Linked DNA regions of Sus scrofa. The protein of the gene in region 1 interacts with the protein of each later gene in a pairwise test. Links are inferred from orthologs where the notes say so. Each region holds a gene or a part of one and is shown on either strand. Other genes may lie near its edges.

Evidence for each region.
Region 2: the proteins of WASHC3 (region 1) and PBXIP1 interact in binary tests that used the Homo sapiens proteins (3 or more experiments, as listed by UniProt). The two-hybrid records come from large-scale screens. The link is inferred for Sus scrofa from reciprocal best matches to the Homo sapiens genes WASHC3 and PBXIP1.
Region 3: the proteins of WASHC3 (region 1) and SYCE1 interact in binary tests that used the Homo sapiens proteins (3 or more experiments, as listed by UniProt). The two-hybrid records come from large-scale screens. The link is inferred for Sus scrofa from reciprocal best matches to the Homo sapiens genes WASHC3 and SYCE1.
Region 4: the proteins of WASHC3 (region 1) and TXLNA interact in binary tests that used the Homo sapiens proteins (3 or more experiments, as listed by UniProt). The two-hybrid records come from large-scale screens. The link is inferred for Sus scrofa from reciprocal best matches to the Homo sapiens genes WASHC3 and TXLNA.

The regions. Positions count from the first base shown.
Region 1 is NC_010447.5:82,153,935-82,158,075, reverse strand, and holds the start of WASHC3 (WASH complex subunit 3), read right to left. Parts: upstream 2,804-4,141; 5' UTR 2,698-2,803; coding exon 2,647-2,697; intron 2,336-2,646; exon of another isoform or gene 2,224-2,335; intron 2,083-2,223; coding exon 1,984-2,082; intron 1-1,983. UniProt on the Homo sapiens protein: Acts as a component of the WASH core complex that functions as a nucleation-promoting factor (NPF) at the surface of endosomes, where it recruits and activates the Arp2/3 complex to induce actin polymerization, playing a key role in the fission of tubules that serve as transport intermediates during endosome sorting.
Region 2 is NC_010446.5:94,835,866-94,840,167, reverse strand, and holds the start of PBXIP1 (pre-B-cell leukemia transcription factor-interacting protein 1), read right to left. Parts: upstream 2,804-4,302; 5' UTR 2,675-2,803; exon of another isoform or gene 2,489-2,674; intron 341-2,488; 5' UTR 305-340; coding exon 254-304; intron 1-253. UniProt on the Homo sapiens protein: Regulator of pre-B-cell leukemia transcription factors (BPXs) function. Inhibits the binding of PBX1-HOX complex to DNA and blocks the transcriptional activity of E2A-PBX1.
Region 3 is NC_010456.5:141,735,028-141,739,249, reverse strand, and holds the start of SYCE1 (synaptonemal complex central element protein 1), read left to right. Parts: upstream 1-1,419; 5' UTR 1,420-3,424; coding exon 3,425-3,494; intron 3,495-3,928; exon of another isoform or gene 3,929-4,108; intron 4,109-4,222. UniProt on the Homo sapiens protein: Major component of the transverse central element of synaptonemal complexes (SCS), formed between homologous chromosomes during meiotic prophase. Requires SYCP1 in order to be incorporated into the central element.
Region 4 is NC_010448.4:88,658,606-88,662,853, reverse strand, and holds the start of TXLNA (alpha-taxilin), read right to left. Parts: upstream 2,804-4,248; 5' UTR 2,649-2,803; intron 2,418-2,648; exon of another isoform or gene 2,351-2,417; intron 2,113-2,350; 5' UTR 2,081-2,112; coding exon 1,903-2,080; intron 1,076-1,902; coding exon 746-1,075; intron 1-745. UniProt on the Homo sapiens protein: May be involved in intracellular vesicle traffic and potentially in calcium-dependent exocytosis in neuroendocrine cells.

The DNA of each region.
Region 1 (4,141 bases):
AAGGCAGAAGTGATTTTGATAACTAGACAAAAGAACAGCTGGAATCTTATACAGACGAAAACAGTTTTCCTGGCTCCATGCAATTTTTATTAATAACATATCTAACAAAAACTATATGCTGATTCCCTACCTTATGTTATATATAAGACATAACGAACTAAATATTGTTTAACTGACTCAGCTGTGATTATCACATTTTCCTCTTTTCTCTTTTTTTTTGGGGGGGTGGGTTTATTTGATTTTCAAAAATTAATAAGATTTTTACAATAGCTTCACAAGCACAAGTTAACAATAATTCAACTGACAAAAATTGGTATTTACTAGTTAACTTCTTGGAAACATTTTTATTGTGTCAATCAAAATGCAACTGGAATGGAGATACATCACATATTGTACAAAAAGTAGGAGAATGGCTAGGACTGGGAAGTCTCTAGGTATTCTCACGGTATTTCATGAAGCAGGCCTTGATTTTTTTTGTTTGTTTGTTTTTTTTTCAGGGATTAAACCCATGCCGCAGCAGCGCCACAAGCCAGACAGTGACAGTACCAGATCCTTAAATTGCTGTGCCCCAAGGGAACTCCAGACCTTGACTTCTTTTTTTTTTTTTTTTGTCTTTGTTGTTGTTGTTGTTGCGATTTCTTGGGCCGCTCCCGCAGCATATGGAGGTTCCCAGGCTAGGGGTTGAATCGGAACTGTAGCCACCGGCCTACGCCAGAGCCACAGCAACGCGGGATCTGAGCCGCGTCTGCAACCTACACCACAGCTCACGGCAACGCCGGATCGTTAACCCACTGAGCAAGGGCAGGGACCGAACCCGCAACCTCATGGTTCCCAGTAGGATTCGTTAACCACTGCGCCACAACGGGAACTCCCAGACCTTGACTTCTTAATGAAATCATTTTAATTTCTGTTTAAATCATCCCTAAAAGCGTATTTAGCTTTAAGTGGTCACTGAACTTTTGGAAAGTAGAATTTGCAAGCATAGAGAAATACCATGATACCAATGGGGGGGTTTTCTTTAACATTAAAGTGTATATGTGTATCCTGTTCCCAATGACAACAATCTTGACTCTTACACCTTTCAGGCAGCAACAATTCCTCTACAAGAACAGTTTCAATTCAAGGATTTGACTGGGGAGGATACTCAGTCAAAGGGTGAACAGTAACTTCAGCACTCAGGTGGTTCATGACAACAAAACGGGGCCCTAGGTTTTGACGCAATCCTCAAGAAGTAAAGAAAACTGAGCAAAAACACCATCTTTTGGTTTCAAAACATTTCCTTGTCCCCTTTCTTCCTTCTTAAACCTAATTTCAACCCATTCTCTTTTTTAGCTTTTTATAAGACAGTCGTCCCTAGATCTGGTACCTAATCTGTAACTGAGCTACTTTATCCTTACTTCATAAGTCATATGCACAAAGTATTTTATTTATTATTTTTTTTTTTTGGCCTCACCTCTGGCATAAAAAAGTTCCAGAGCCAGGGATCAAACATGAGCCACAGCAGTGACAAGGCCTGGTCCTTAACCCACTGCACCACCAGGGAACTCCGTATTTTTACTTTTATTTCCATGATGATATTTGATGCCAAAGTTACATTTCTAGGCTACCTCCTCAATCATCTTTTGGATCAAGCAATGTAAAATAATGTACACCTAAAACGTAAATCTTTGAGGTAGGAGAAACATAACCAATTTCAAAATAAAAAATGTCTTTAACTGTGAAATACAATTATTATCTTCAATTACAGTAAGCCTTAGTGAACTGCTTCACAAAAGTCTCAGAAGTTTAATTCAGCAGAGATGGGCTGCAGGAAGACGGTAATAGAACCAAAGAGGATTTAAGGTATATTAACATAATAATTGGGTGAGAAGAGGTCACGGTATATGAATACACAGACTGTAAATCTTGTTTTAGTCATTTGCTACCTTCAAAAGTGCGAGGTGATATCTGGGCTACACATTAGACCAACACCACTGGACCTACCTCCTCACAAACTGTAGAAAAGCGGTTGAGGAACTGTACAGTGTGCACCACAAATTGGTTTAGAAATGCCACCGTTCTTTTCTGTTGAATAGCTGGCACCTGTGTTGCGTAAAAATAAACATGATCCGTACAGGAGGAAGGTACACCGTGCAATCCCCTCGATATTAATAAAGGGGCGTTTCTCTGTGTGATATGAGTTACTGGAAGTTCTGCCAATAGTCATTAACTTGTTTTCCTAACCTGTGGGGGTGGGGTGTTCAAAGATGACAGATGCTGCAAAGTTTGAGAAAGGGCTCTGGATTCACAAGAGCGAACTTCCGCAGGTATAGGCAACACGTAAACACACGAAAACCTTAAGGGCCGAATAAAAGAGGTAGGGTTAGAAATCGGAACTGGCCCGTGTCGCCAGTGGTTCACCCTTGAGGACAGGGACTCGTGACCTGGGAAGCGAAGCCTGGGAGAGGTACACTACACTGCCCCCGCCCTTCCTTACCTCAGGAGGGACCTCTTTAAAGGGCAAACTATGGGACTCTCCCTCCGGAGAGAGATGAGACAGGCCTAGGACAGCGTTGGGCTTAGAGAGATGTGGTCTCCCTGGGAACCCGGCGTCCCTTCCCCATCCTCCTCCCAGGTCACCTGAGTTCAACTCCATCTTTTACAAACCTTAGTCAGGTCTATGCCTGACCCCATGAGAGGAAGCCCATCCTCATCCATCTCCTCAGCGGGCACGGGACACAGGGTTCACCCACACACCCCTCCCCGACCAGGCCAGCCCAACCCGGTAATAGCTTACGAACACCTCCCCCCAGTCCCCGCCTCCCGGGTTCTTCCCGCCGGAAGGAAACGCCTCCTCTCGCCAATCACTCGGCGGCTTCCGGAGAGCCCACCCCTTCGCAAGGCATTCTGGGATTGGTAGTTTTAGTTCCGGATTGTGACGTCGGACGAAGAGCGCCGAGTCTAGAAAGGGTGAAATTCTCTTCTCGCAAGATTTTAAAAATGGGGCGGGGAAAAGTAAAGCATCCCGACTGTTTGAGGTTATCCCTCTGCTTAGTGTTGTCTCTCGTATAAGGCAGCTGAGGCATTCGTTAATAAAATATATATATAGTTTGTTTTTGTTGTTATTTTTAACATACTAAGTGCCAGATTGGCCCCTGGGCCCTAATTTAATCAGGTTGAGTATATGTATCTATAGAACTATAAAAATATTAACTTATCTAAAATTGGCCAATTAACAGAAATTCTCCAAAGTGGTTTGGTTTCTTAAAAAAAGAAAAGACAAGTATAATTCTGTGAGATATAATTCTAGTTAACGGAAGAGTGGGACTTTCTCATTGCCTCCTAGGATTCTTGATGATACTCTTCATCACTCTTCCATAGCTCCTGAAGGCAGTGCCACTCACAACATAATAACTGAATTTCCAGGGCTGTTAAAAACAATCTATAGCTAGAAGTCTTGGTCATCTTCCTGAAATCCTCTGAAATACCCGTGTCCTTTCTCCAGGCTTTCTCTCATTGGAAATGGATTACCAGATTTCAATTACTGTAGTGCATTTTGGAGACAAAAGAAGTAAATTGTAACGAATACTGATTTAAAAAGGCAGAGTCCATGAATCCCACCTGCATATAACATATCTGTTAAATTAAAAGGTCTTAAAGCATTTTTCAGTAGTTATGTTTTCAGGAGTTCCCATCGTGGTGCAGTGGAAACGAATCTGGAACTAGGAACCATGGGGTTGTGGGTTCGATCCTCGCTCAGTGGCTTAAGGATCCAGTGTTGCTGTGAGCTGTGGTGTAGGTCACAGATGTGCTTTGGGTCTGGTGTTGCTGTGGCTGTGGGTGTAGGCTGGCAGCTGTAGCTCTGATTAGACCCCTAGCCTGGGAACCTCCATATGCCGCAAGTGTGGCCCTAAAAAGCAAAAACAAAAATAATAGTTATATTTTCAGAGCCTGTAACTAGAAAATCACTTATTTAATTTCTTCATGAATTGGTTCTTAGGTGAGGGAAATCATTAGCATTGAGTTCCTATTTTTCTTTTGTTTTCTTTTTTCCTCCTTTGTTTCAGAATGAACAGTTAGAGGGGTATAGTGTTGGTTCAGAATAGTGGGAAAATAAATGTAAGTGTCTCTTGTCCCTCTTCCCCCATCCCTCAGGAGTGAT
Region 2 (4,302 bases), on another chromosome or scaffold:
TCTCCCACTGTTGCCTCAGAACCTCTGCTTGTGCTGGTCTCCCCACCAGAATTTTGCCCCTACTTCTCCCAGCTTATGCCAGCAAATGCCTTCTTTCTAGGCATGGTCCAGGTCCCCACTTCTCCCAGCCATTGGAATTCCTCTCACAGCCAGCAGGAGGCGATGCATGTGACAAGGAAAAGGACAGACCCCAGAAAGCAGTCCAGCCCTGCAGGAACCCTGTTTTTAAGGTTCCCAGGCCTGCTTTTCTTACCTCTGAGCCAGCAAGCACCCAGCTATTGTCCGAGTCTGGGCTGGAGGCCATAGTTGCAGAGGTTCCCGAGGCTGTTCAGGCCGCCACCTGCAGAGAAAGGCTCCTTTAAAGACCCCAGCTCCCTTCAGGATGCAGACAGCAGCCTCAGCTGGGTTCTAACTGTAACGAAGGGCTGGGTACCAACTTCCAGAACCAGCCTGGTTCCAGGCCTTCTGATCCCAACACCTCAACTCTTCTTCTGGGCAGCATTTGCCTTGCAAATCACAACCTGCCAACAGCCACAGTGAAGCTTGCCCCTCCCAGGGACCAAAAGGGCCCTTGGGAAACTGGGAGATGGGACTGACCTTGAAAGGACAGAGTAGCATAGGGCTGGAAAGAAAGGCTTTGGGAAAAATCCAGGTCAACTCCCTCAAGTTATAGTCAGGGAAAACGAAGGCCAGAAAGTTGGCTGACTTGACTTGCCAAAGATGAACAGCTAATAAGAAGAGTGAGGCACAATCCAGCCCTCCCTTCACCACCTCAGGCTCCCCCACAATCACCACCCCTTCCCCCAGGGCTTGGAAGAGAAGACTCAATGGCCTCCTTCAGCCCCAAGTCTCCCCCTCACTGCAAGTCCTCCATATGGTCTAGTTCAGACTGGCTGCACATGGAATCACTCAAGATTCTGATACAGTCAGGTTCAAGACTCAGGCTTAGGCTTGGGCACGGGGCTTTTTTAAAACCTTCCAAACGATTCTCACGTGTAGCCAAGGTTGAGAAAAACTGGCACAGCTTAACTCCATCTGAATTAACCCGTACTAGTAGATCTCCTTGGCACGCTCACTCTCCATTTCCCTTCTTAGTAACCTCCAGAGTTTCATCGTAGAGAACGTGAAGGTGACTGGGAAGAGGGATTTATGGCAACTACCATGTATAATGCACTTTACAGGCTGCAAAGCCTGGACAAAAATCAGGGCTGTGATCCTACCCCCTGCGAACCTGCTCTGACTTGGCCAGGTGGCAGTGGGAAGTTACTCCAGCTTCCAAAGCCTGACACAAGGCAGGATAGGAAGATCGTAACCTACTCCTTCATCCATGGCCAAGACTGTCCCCCATCCAGGCTGGCAATGGTGGAGGGAGAGATGAGCTGACCCCCTAGAGTCTTAGATTCTGATCCTTTAGAAGGGGCTAAATGACGGCTTGCTGAGGGGTGAGAGGGGTGGCAAGTGGTAAAGGACTCTAAAAGGAAACCTTGGGAAAAGGAGCGAGGCTGGGGAACAAGCATGGCACTTCTACCCTAGGAAACCGCCACACTGCCCTCTTCTGTTTGAGCTCAAGTGAGTCCTACTCAGTGCCCTACAAACCTCCTGTGGCCCTTGTGCGTCAAGATCCAAGCCCAGGACAGATGAAGGACACCTCACAGTGTCTCCCAAGACCTATGCCTTCCAAACGCATGCACCCACCCCACAAGGAGACAGGAGAAGGGCGCAATGACTTCCCCACATCCCACAGGACACCCCTGGCAGGCTTCACAGGCATCCAGAGAACCATCACTGTGCAGCCTTCTGGTCTCAAGCCCCTCCCCCACAGTTCTGTCATCATCTCCCCATCCTCAGTTGCTGTGTGTGACTTTTAACAGGTGGTGGCAGGGAAGTGGCAGCAGCTTGGGCTGAAGTCCCTGTTTATCCTTAGCTGTATACGGCCTGCTCCGGTCCTCCAGAACCAGGCACCATGGTAACCACAGTGATGTCAGACCCACTGTCTCCATGGAAACCAGCAAGGTATTTGGGTCAACAAGACAAACACTTCTGAGACCTAAACAGGAGACAGTCCGGAACCCCTGCACTCAGAGTTCCAAATACTTGTTGGTCTCTCTCCCTTGGTTGGGTTCACCCAAGATTCCAAAAGATCTCCCTGTTCTCCCAAGCCAGCATCTCACTGCCCTATTAGGAAGTTCCTCCAGCTGTCTAATCTCCACCCTGGCCCACGGTGTTTTCAGATCTCTTTCTTCTCATCAACCTCTAGGAAGAAAACCCACCTCCACCCCCTCCTCTTTCTTTTCATTCAAGTAGGATTCAACAAAAACACCCTATAAGGATTGTCAGGAACTTGGGCTACTTCCAAAAGACAACTAAAGGGGGAGCTCTCCCACCCTCCGTAAAAAGCTGGAAAGTCTCGTCTAGCTGATTTCAACCCCCCATAAGAGTTGCTCCCCCAAATCTCTAGAGCAAATGACACAGGGCTGCAAAAACTTGCCTGGGAGACCTAAAGCAAGTTCCTGTTTTGGAAACGGCCGCCCATGATCCCCCTTCCGCCGGCCAAGAAGCGACAAACTAGCTCTGAAGATCCTCGGAGGAGCCCAACCGCTGGAGTTCTGGCCCCCCTCACCTCTATCCTTCCTCGCACAGGGATCCCTGTGGGCCCTTCTCACCGGGGCTTTACCTGATCCTGCTCCTGGCTTCAGTCTTCCCCTGAACTTGTTGCTGCCTCTCCAGCTTTACAGCGCCAAGAAAGGCAGGTCATGTGACCTAGAACCGGCCAATAGAAAGTCAACTTCCCTGAGGGGGCGGAAACTTTTGGCCAATAACAGCTAGACTGGAGAGCCACGGGAGGGGAAAGGAGGGGGGGAACTGCAGAGCCCCGCAACCTGGTTCCCCTCCCTGCGGGACGGCTGGAGTGCCAGCAAACTGAATATTGTCACCTCCCCTCCTGGGAGCAGCGTCTAAAGAATTTCTGGAGCCAAGACCCAAAACTGAAAGGCAAAGGGTGGCTTCTCTAAGACAAGGGGCCAGGTTGGTCCCAGGATAGACAGAGACAGCTGCAGGATGGGGGAGGGGAGTGGCCAATTGCGGGTTGGAAATAGCCCTTCGGCCACTCTCATGCTGCCCCAGTGCGGATTGTTTAAGGATGCCGCTATTTACAAAAAAAAGATGAGGGGGGCCTGAAAAGTATCCAAAAATGAAAACTTCCGGACCCAGGGGCAGCCCCTGATCCCACCCTTGGAGCTATGCTCGCTGCCTAACCCAAATAACTGGGGAGTGGGGTTGTGGGCGCTAAACCCCCAAGCACTAAAGACAGTTGTCTCCCCTGAAGACTTGGAGCCAAAGCTCCGGCTTGGCTCCAGGCCTGGCCCAGGAATGTGCTCAGAAAGGAAACTTGTTCCTCACAGCAGGGACACGGGGGGAGAGGCAGGGAGCACAGGCCTCCCTGGGCTTAGCTGTTTGTACCAGGGCCAGCCCAGAGGGCTGAATCTTTCTGCTGTTCCCACTTCCAGAGACACCCCCCCACACACACACGGATACCTATCTTCACCCCCAACCAACCTGCCCAGGGATGACTGGCCCATTCCAGCCTTGTACCCACACATCAACAGCAAGGGCTCCAGTCTGGATTTTCCAAAGTCATTTTATTAATCCAACCGTACAAAACTTTCCCCACATCTCTGCCACCCCCACTTGCTTCCAAAAAGTTGTGGAGTGAGGGGGAGAGAGGGATTGAGCTGACACCCCACCACCACCGCCGCCCCTCAGGAGCCACCTTACAAAATGCTGCCATGGGAGAGACCACAAAAATAGCAACAGATGGAAGAGGAGCGAACAGAACCACAAACACAACACAAAGTTGAGGGAGGGGGGTGCCATCTCTGCTGTCCGGTGGGAAGAACCCTGGAGAAGAGAAGCCCAGAGGCCGCTGCCTTCTTTTTCACAGCCTCAAAGGCTGAATGCTGCACTGGCCAAGTTCTGCAGCATCCGTGTCTTCTCTTCACACGGGGAAGGGCCAGCAAGGGACCCCCGGCTCCCGTCGGGGCCACGCCCCAAGCCTGCCTTCCCCACCCCACCGAGGAATGTGAGCTCTGGCTGTAAGGGAGGGAGCAGCTGTGAGGGACTCCTCCTCAGGACCAAGGCCCTTCTCTGGCAGGCAGTGCTTTAAAAATGAAATAAGAACTAAGCCCAGCGCAGGACCCTGGCTGAGACGAATGGGAACAACTAGATGACCTCGCCCGAGCAGATACAAAGAATAGCAGGGGAAGAGAGAAGCAAAAAACATCCAGGCTCTGGACTGATTTTAGT
Region 3 (4,222 bases), on another chromosome or scaffold:
TTCCTTCACATAATAATTACCTGGAGTGATTATCTCTGGCGTATGAATTTATTAATTTCTTACATCTTCATTGATTTATTCTCTGATTTATTTTTCTGGACCCACTTGTGGCATGCAGATATTGTCTGGCCAGGAACTGAATCCACCCCAGGGCTGTTACTACCCCAGGCTCGTACACACAACCCTCTGCCACCACAAGCATCATATCGGAAGAGCCTTTTTCATGCCTTTCTCTGTCAATTCACTTAGCTACTATGTAGGGATATCTATATGTATGCACTGACTTCATCAATTTATCGCCTTCTTCAAAATATTTACTTTTCTTGATTCATTTACTTGGGTGCCACCTGCAACATCAGGGAGTTGCCCAGTCAGGGTTTGATCTCCCTATGCAACTCTCACCATAGCCACAGACTCTTAAGGAAGCCAGCCACGAGGGAACTCTCTGAGAGCTTTCTTGGTATCAATCAACCCTGCTTAATTCATCAGACCTGGGTTCGGTCAGGCCTCCTTCCCTGGAGCGGTCACTGTAAAGGGAGACTCGTGTGGCAAGGCAAGAAAGACATTTCACTAGGTCTCATGAGCAGAAAAAGCACAGGGATTAGCACAACCACCCACCACAATGCCACCGAAGTCCACCATCCATTCATCAGCACCAGCCTCTATCCAGAGAGCTAAACCCTTGGCAGTCAGGGGCTTGAAAATGGACAGTTCATGATTCAAAACAGAGGCTGTGTGGGTTCTGGCTCCTGGCCTGGAGGAACACAAGGCGCTCTGAAACCCAGTGGATCACTCAAGCATTATAAACACACTGCCACCTGGCCAGGCAGCAAATGCACACACATTAAATGCTAAAAGGACAGCTGTGTGCTCTGCCTGACGTGAGGCAACTTAGAGCAGAGAGTCCCAGATACCTGGAAAACAACCCCAGATCTCTGGGTGCTGGCTGGGGTTTCCCACAAACACATCATCAACCCCAACGCTGAGCCCCGACATGCAGCCTTGGAGCTTGCCCTTGGGTCTGGAAAGTACCCTGGCACCGTCTTGTGGTCATCTGCACTAACAGCAACTCTCAGGTGTTCGTCCTCCCTCTGGCTGAGCAGCCCCCGGGGGCAGCTTTGGCCTTGGGCAACACACTGGTTGGATTGCCTTCCTCTGCTTTCTTGAAATATCAAGAAGGGCCCTACCAAGTGGGCTATTTCTCTCTCAAAGGCTTTCAGAGCCCTGAGGCCACCCTACCCGATGCCACAGCTTTTAAACACTCAGCTCCCGACCCATCATGTGCTGACAGCCTTCTTCAATTTTTCATATATTCACGCAGGTGTGTGTTTTTGAATATATTTGTTTACATATGTAATTATTGACTTATTTTCTTACCTTTCCAACTATTATTCATTAGCTCATAGGTCTTTCTTCCTTTGTTCTACCTTTCTTACATTTTTTTCTTTCACTGGAGTGACTTACCCTACTGTATGGAGCCCAGTGGCTCCCAAATGTCGATTCCTTGCTCCAACCGCCAAGAGCTGGGGCAGCCAGGGCCACTTTAGGGAATTTTGAAAGGAAGATGCTCAGGACAAGTGGTCCTGGCAGCTGCTAGGAACTCACCAGAAAACTCCCCAACTGGGGCCAGCTGGTCACAAACAGCAAGGCTCCTGGCTGGCTCACCAAAACCTGTTGCCGAACCCAAGTTTGCTCTGCTCACTGTACTGCTCAGGCCAATGAATTCTAAGAAGAGTTGTTGGGGCGATGCATAGCTACTTTAATTAGAAAGCTAGCAGATGGAGAAGACGGCAGGCTAGTGTCTTGAGACTTGCCTCAGTCTTAATTCAGGCTCTTTTAATACTGAGAAAGGGGAGGGGCAGGGGCCAATGGTCAGCCACTGTCACTTGCTGGGGGGACAGGCTCACTACAATGCTGACCAATGGCTGAAGAGGACCACTAAATGTCGCTCACTAATGGTTGCTCACTTACACTCTGACCCCAGCCCCTTTATCCCTGACTCTAACCTCTAAGGCCAGGCAGTCTGTACAACAGGATGGGTTAGGGTTTTAAGGGTCACTTGAACCTTTGCTCTACCCTTATCTTGCACAGGTCAGTTCACCATCAAAGAAGTAGCCCCAGTAACATGGAGATTATGGCCCACTTTGCCAGTTTGGATTGGTAGTCCATGACTTGAACAACCGTCAAGGGTGGCAATGGTCATGGGCTCAGCTACTAATTCCTACTCCTTTCCCTGACCTTGATACTGACCCTAAAAATGAAAGGTGACTCTCGTCTGACATTGACTCTTGACCCTTTCCCTGACCCTCGTCTCCTACTCAGACTCTTACTTTGATGCTGAGACCAGCTCAGTGAGTGGAGGTGAAGGACGGGTGCTGCAAAGCTTAAGAAATGTTCATCGGAAACAAAGAAAGACACAGAGACAGGGTACAGTTAAAGATGGGACCAGGGGACGCAAGACCTCATGCGTCAAGAGCCCTGAATGCCGACGCCTCATCGTCTTTATTATGCTCTCAGGAAGGTAAACAATGTGAGAAAATAGACACCCCAAGGCCCTCGGCCTCCAGTCACCTTGAATTTGAACTCCGACCTTTACTCTAAAGGGCATCAATGAGGCTGGTGTTAGCTATCTAGGCATAACATCTTGAGGAACAATCAGTGTTTTCTCAAGCAGTTTTCTGACTTGAGCTGACCCGGTTTTCCAAAGTCAACACCTTGTCCTCTCAGTTAATGCCTAACTTGCTGAGCCAGGTCCCTCTAGCCCCTTATGGTTTCCTTGGGGTTTAGAAAACACATCCGGAAGATTTCTCCCCACACCTTGAGCCTTAATCCTAATGCTTACTCTGTGACTTTTCGTAACCTTATCCCTATCGAGGACGCTTAAGTCAGCTCTAGGGCAGGGCTTTGCACAGGTAGCACTCAAAACTGCTCCTCACACCTGGTTGTTCCTGCCACCTGGAATCCTGAGCAACAGGTGAGGAAAACGTGACGCTGGAGGTTTTGGAACAGGATTTGCGCACGACGAGGCCAACTCACCGCCCTGCTGTAAAGCACCCAGGACGCGTCTGAGGGAAAACCGGAAATTCCTCTTCCGGGTGCAGAGACAGGAATGAACTGAGACCCCCACGCCAAGCACTGGCACTGTCCCCGAAGCGCGGGCGGCGTCCCCTGGGACGCACCCTCAGGAGACCGCCACACGCCCGCAGGCCCCTGGCTCCTCCATCGACCAAGCGCAAACCCAAGCGCACGCGACCCTCGCCTGCTCTGCGCAGAGTCAGGGCCAGACGCTCAAGCATGCGCACTGGCGCGAGCCCACGGTCTCCCCGCGGCCCCCGCTCGAGGAAACGGGCATTGCGCAGGCGCACAGAGGACGCCCCGCCCCCGGCGCGGCGCCAGACGCCGGGAGCCAGCGACCTGAGAGGAGATGGCGGGGCGGCCGGGGCCTTCGAGCGAGGAGTCCGCGGGAGCCCTGGGCCGCGCTGGCGAGGCAGGAGGTAGCTGGGCCCGGTGGCGGCCTCTGACCCGGCCTCCGGAGGGAGCCAGGCTGCCAGGGGCCGGGCGGGGAGCGCGTGCGGGCGCCTCTTCCTCAGGGCGGGGTCGGTCGTGAGGAAAAACGACTGTCGCCCCGCTGGAAGGGTCTGGGCGGCGCTACCCGGAGCGCTCCGGGGGACTCACCCGCAGGCCTCGCCTGACCTTCGCGCACTTCCCGTTGGCCTGGTCTGTCCACCCCGTTTGCTCAAGTAGCTCAGAGGAGTCAGGGGACACGGTTTCGATCTGGTCCCGGGGCCCCCACACCCGTGGGCCCGCGTCGGTCCCGTCACTCGTCCCACAGCCCGCACACATCTGCCTTCCCAGCTGCCCCGTAGTGGTTCTCCTCGGGGGAGTTTTTCCCCCGGACGAGGGTCCGGACGGCTCCACACGGCATTACCTTTTCTTTCGTCTTGACACTGATCCGCCGCGTGTTGGCTCCCACCTCACCAGGAAGCGGGTGGGGGAGCACGGCAGCTCCTTCAGTTAAAAAGTTCTGCAGGGACAGCCTGGGGTAGAGGAGAGATGAACAGTGTTCCTTAGACGTTTTCGCCCCGGTGTTTCACAGAACCGGAGGGACCTGTACAAGGAACACCCATCCCTCAGCTTGTTTACTCTCTGCTCTCCTTGGCTCACCCACCTCCCTCCTTAAGATTCAATCATGAACATGTCTTGGTGACACTTTCAGACCTGC
Region 4 (4,248 bases), on another chromosome or scaffold:
CTGGGAATCTCCATATGCCGTGGGAGCGGCCCAAGAAATAGCAGCAACAACAACAACAAAAAGACAAAAGACAAAAAAAAAAAAAAAAAAAAAACCAAACAGAAAACAAAAAACAAATGCCAGCTACAGTTAGCCTGTAGTTTTCCATGCTATCGTCTCACCTGGGGCCAGGTGGCAGTCAAGCCTTTGAATAAAGCAGGCATTCTCTTGGTCCTCATGGGTGCCTCTGGCTAGCTTGGCTTTATTTGAGTTTTCAACCTCATCTAATCCAATTCTCTTATTGTGTAGAGAAGTGAAAACCAAGGACCAGAGAGGAGAAAGGTCTCGCCCAAGGTCACACAGCAAGTTAGAAGTGGTGCTGGCTGAAGAGGACTGACCACTCAGGCCTCCTTCTTTCCATCTTCTCAAAGAGAGCAGGTTAGACTTCGGTTCCCGCTTGCTCCCAGGCTAGAAGCCCTTGTGCAGTGAACCTGCACGTCTCTATGCTATGGTCCTGCAGCCCCTGCTCTCATTAAACTATGTAGGTTGAAAATGTTCTCAAATCAGGTTGTGATGATGGTTGTACAGGTATAAATGTAATAAACCCGCTGAATGAAAAAAACATTAGAAAAAACAAAAACAAAAAGTAAGTAGCTGCTCTGGAAGTAGTGTTTCCTCCAAATCCTGGCACAGCAGGCTAACCCAGGAATGTCAGATTCAAACTCCCTCCCCTCACCAGCCTCATAAGCAGCTGCCCTCTGCTCACCTAGACCTTTGGCTTTCTTCTTTTCCTGGGGCCTTCGGTGGTCTCGGTCTACGACCTCGTCACTTGCCCGGATCTCGTCTGCGCCCGGCTCCCCCTTGGAGGGCTCCTTCTCACCATTGACTACTGGGGTCTCTGGCTCAGGCTCCCCATTCCTTGAGGCATAGGTCCGGGACTTCTCTGCATCTTCAGGTTCACCAGGCTCACCCTGTGCCCCATCTTCGCCTGGGCCCCCCTGATTGTTGTCTATACAGTATGTACTGAGGATGTCTTCCAATTGGCGGCTCAACTCCTCTGAGACATCACGGAGGGCCCCAGTTTTGGCTTGTGCTCCTGCAGCAGGAGGGATGAGGGGCAGAGTCAGAAATAAGACCATTATGCCACTGGCTGGGATTTTTTCAGGCCCAAACTTACTAGTTTGGGTTAAATGTTACCTAACTTCTTTAAACCTCAGTTTTATTACTGATAAAACTATTTCTCACCTCTGCCCAACCATGCTTGTTATAAGAGAAATCAAGTAAGGAGACCACCCAACACAGAGGTGGCATCATGTAGCAGGAACTCAAGGTCTAGTCCACCTGCAAATGTCACTTCTTGCTATTAAAAAAGTTCCAAGAGTTCCCGTTGTGGTGCAGCAGAAACGAATCTGACTAGTATTCATGAAGACTCAGGTTCGACCCTTGGCCTCACTTAGTAGGTGAGGGATCCTGTGTTGCTGTGACTGTGGTGCAGGCTGGCAGCTGTAGCTCCAATTCGACTTGAGCCTGGGCACCTCCATATGCCTAGGGTGGGGCCCTAAGAAACAGAAAAAAAAGAAAAAAAAAAAAAAGTTCCAGAAATGCCTCAAATAGGAATAGCAGTTACCCACTGCTGAAAGTGGTGTTTTTGATTTGCTGGTTGGGTGCCTCATTTGACTGCCAACCTGACTTAATCCTGTCAGAAGCTTCTCTCAGGAGAGTTCTGTCCCTGTGCTTAGGGTGGGAGGCTCTATCAACTCCCCAGCGCAGAGTGGGCACTCAAGGACTCAGTGGTGTCCTCCCCTCATTCTACATTTCCTCCCTTCTGGATAAACAGTGGCCTTGGCTTCTAACCCCAGAAGCTAGACTGACGCACCATAAACTCCTCCCCCTGCCCATTGGAAAAGCAGAGCTGGCACACACCCTCAGCCTTCCCTGGAGCCTGGCTGGTGGAACCTTCAGCTTCTGTCGTGGGAGCAGACTGGCTGGGCCGCCCCTGGCCTCCCTCTGGTCCTGCTTCCGGTTGCCCCGGGGTGTTTTTGGGGTTGGAAGTGTGGCCAGATTGCTTGGCAGCCCCATTCTTTTTGTCTTGGTTCTTCATTGTTGTTTGCAACGTTAGGTTATGAGCAGAACCTATAGAAACAAATACACTTGCTATTTTCCAGACTTTAAACAATTCTTCGCAGCCTGGATCTGATATCTCCACACCGGACCCGCAAAGCTTCTTAAACCGACCGGCCTTCCTCGGATGGGAGCCAGTGGGGCTCCCTATCTCTGGTCGGTCAGGGAAGTCTGGTGTGCCCAACAGCAGGGGAGAGGAGGCCTCCTTTTTCCCCGAAGCTACTTCCCCGGCACAACCCAGCCCTCTCACCACAGCCCGTGCGCCGGACAGGCTCAGGCCCAGGGACTGACGTGGCGGGACGCTGGATTCCCGGTTCCTCCCCGCCCCCCAGGCCCCACGTGTGCCCACCCCCCCGCGCGCGCGCGCAGCCACCCACGCCCCGCGCGCCCTCCAGCCGCGCGCTCCGCCCGCGCATGCGCACAGGCCTCGGCCCCTGCACTCCAGCCCGAGTCCTCGTGCGGAATCGGCGTAATTCCCTGAACCGTCCGAAGGCGTCGGGCCCCGGGCCCTCTGCTTGCCTTGTACCCCTAACCGACGCAATACGCACCCCACCGCCGACGTCCCGACGGCTTCTCCTGCTCTGGCCTCTCACCGGAAACCCTGGGTAACTGCTGCCGGCAGAGCCGCCTGCTCGCGCCGCGGCCAATCAATAGCCCGCGCTCTCGCGGGGCTTGCTGGGAAAGTTGAAGCGAAGGCGGCCTCTGAGGCGGGTGAGTTGGGAAGGCGGAGTGGGGGGGTGGAGGGACAGAAAGGACTACATGTCCCTCCATGCACCGGGCTGATCCCGACTCCCAAGCTGCAACAGGGCTTTCGTTCTTGGAGCCCAGACCCAGGAGGTCCGAAAGCAGCCAGTCATTCTGCACTGGTACTCACGTCAACCTCCTTTCCATCACGCAGAAGTTATGATTCAGCTCCCAGAGCCTTGCGCCTGGCTGCTTTTTCCCCGCACACCTCAACCCCGTCCTTCCCTCCTGCTGAGGATATCTGTGACTATCTAGGAACTCTGAGGACGAGGGATAAAATACGGTGCTGGACATCAGATCTGTATTCCTTCCAGTCCTAATTTCATCACTAATTTGTTATGTGACCGGGCATTCTTTTCATTCCCAGAGCCTCGATTTCCGTATTCCTATAGAAAATTTTAATAACAGTAGTTCTTTGAATGCTAGCTTTCCCAGTAACTACTCCAGATAAATACTGTAGTATTTGTTACTCTCAATTTACACCTGTTAGGTGATTGTCCAAGGTCACATAGCTATTGACTGATTAGAGCAGTTTCAAAGCCAGGAAGTCTGGCACCCATCTCAACTACTGGACTACCCTGCTTCTTACTCAGGAAGAAATAATCACCATGATGCGCTTTCCTTGAGGGTGAGTCAAGGTAACTTGGAAAAGTAAATACTTAATTTCCCATCCCCATTTCCACCTTGAGTCCCTCTTTGGAAGGTGCTGAGGCCCTGTAAGGGGAAGTTTGGTTTCAGCAGATTCCTGAGCCTTTTCTTTGGCCCACTCCTACCAAGTCCCAGTTGCACTGGTGCTAAAGGGGAAAAATAGCCAAGCTTTTCTCAAAATGTGAAATCACAATTCTTTTTCCATTTGTCTGTAGACAACAGAATAAAACACAGCAACCTATGTGCTTGGATTTTTTTTTTTTTTTTTTTTTTTTTTAAGGGCTGCACCTGCGGCATATGGAAGTTCCCAGGCTAGGGGTCTAATCAGAGCAGTGGCTGCCAGCCTGCACCACAGCCATAGCAACGCCAGACCCGAGCCACATCTGTGACCTACGCTGCAACTCATGGCAATGCCAGATTCTTAACCCACTGAGTGAGGCCAGGGATCGAACCTGTGTCCTCATGGATGCTAGTTGGATTCTTTACCTCTGAGCCACAACAGGAACTCCTGTGCTTGAAATTTAATGCCTAAATGGTTTTGCTTTTATTTCCTGTCAATCCTCCTCATCCCCTTGGCCTTTTAAAAAAAATTATTAAAGCGTAGTTGATTTACAATGTTTCGTCCCCCTCTGCCTTTTTTGTTCCAGCTATACTTTTACTGTTTCCAGGATTTCCCAGGTTTTTGCAGGTGCCATACCATTGTCGATGAAAAAAATGTTACCTGCCATATCAGTAAACAAAGGATGTTGCAGCCAT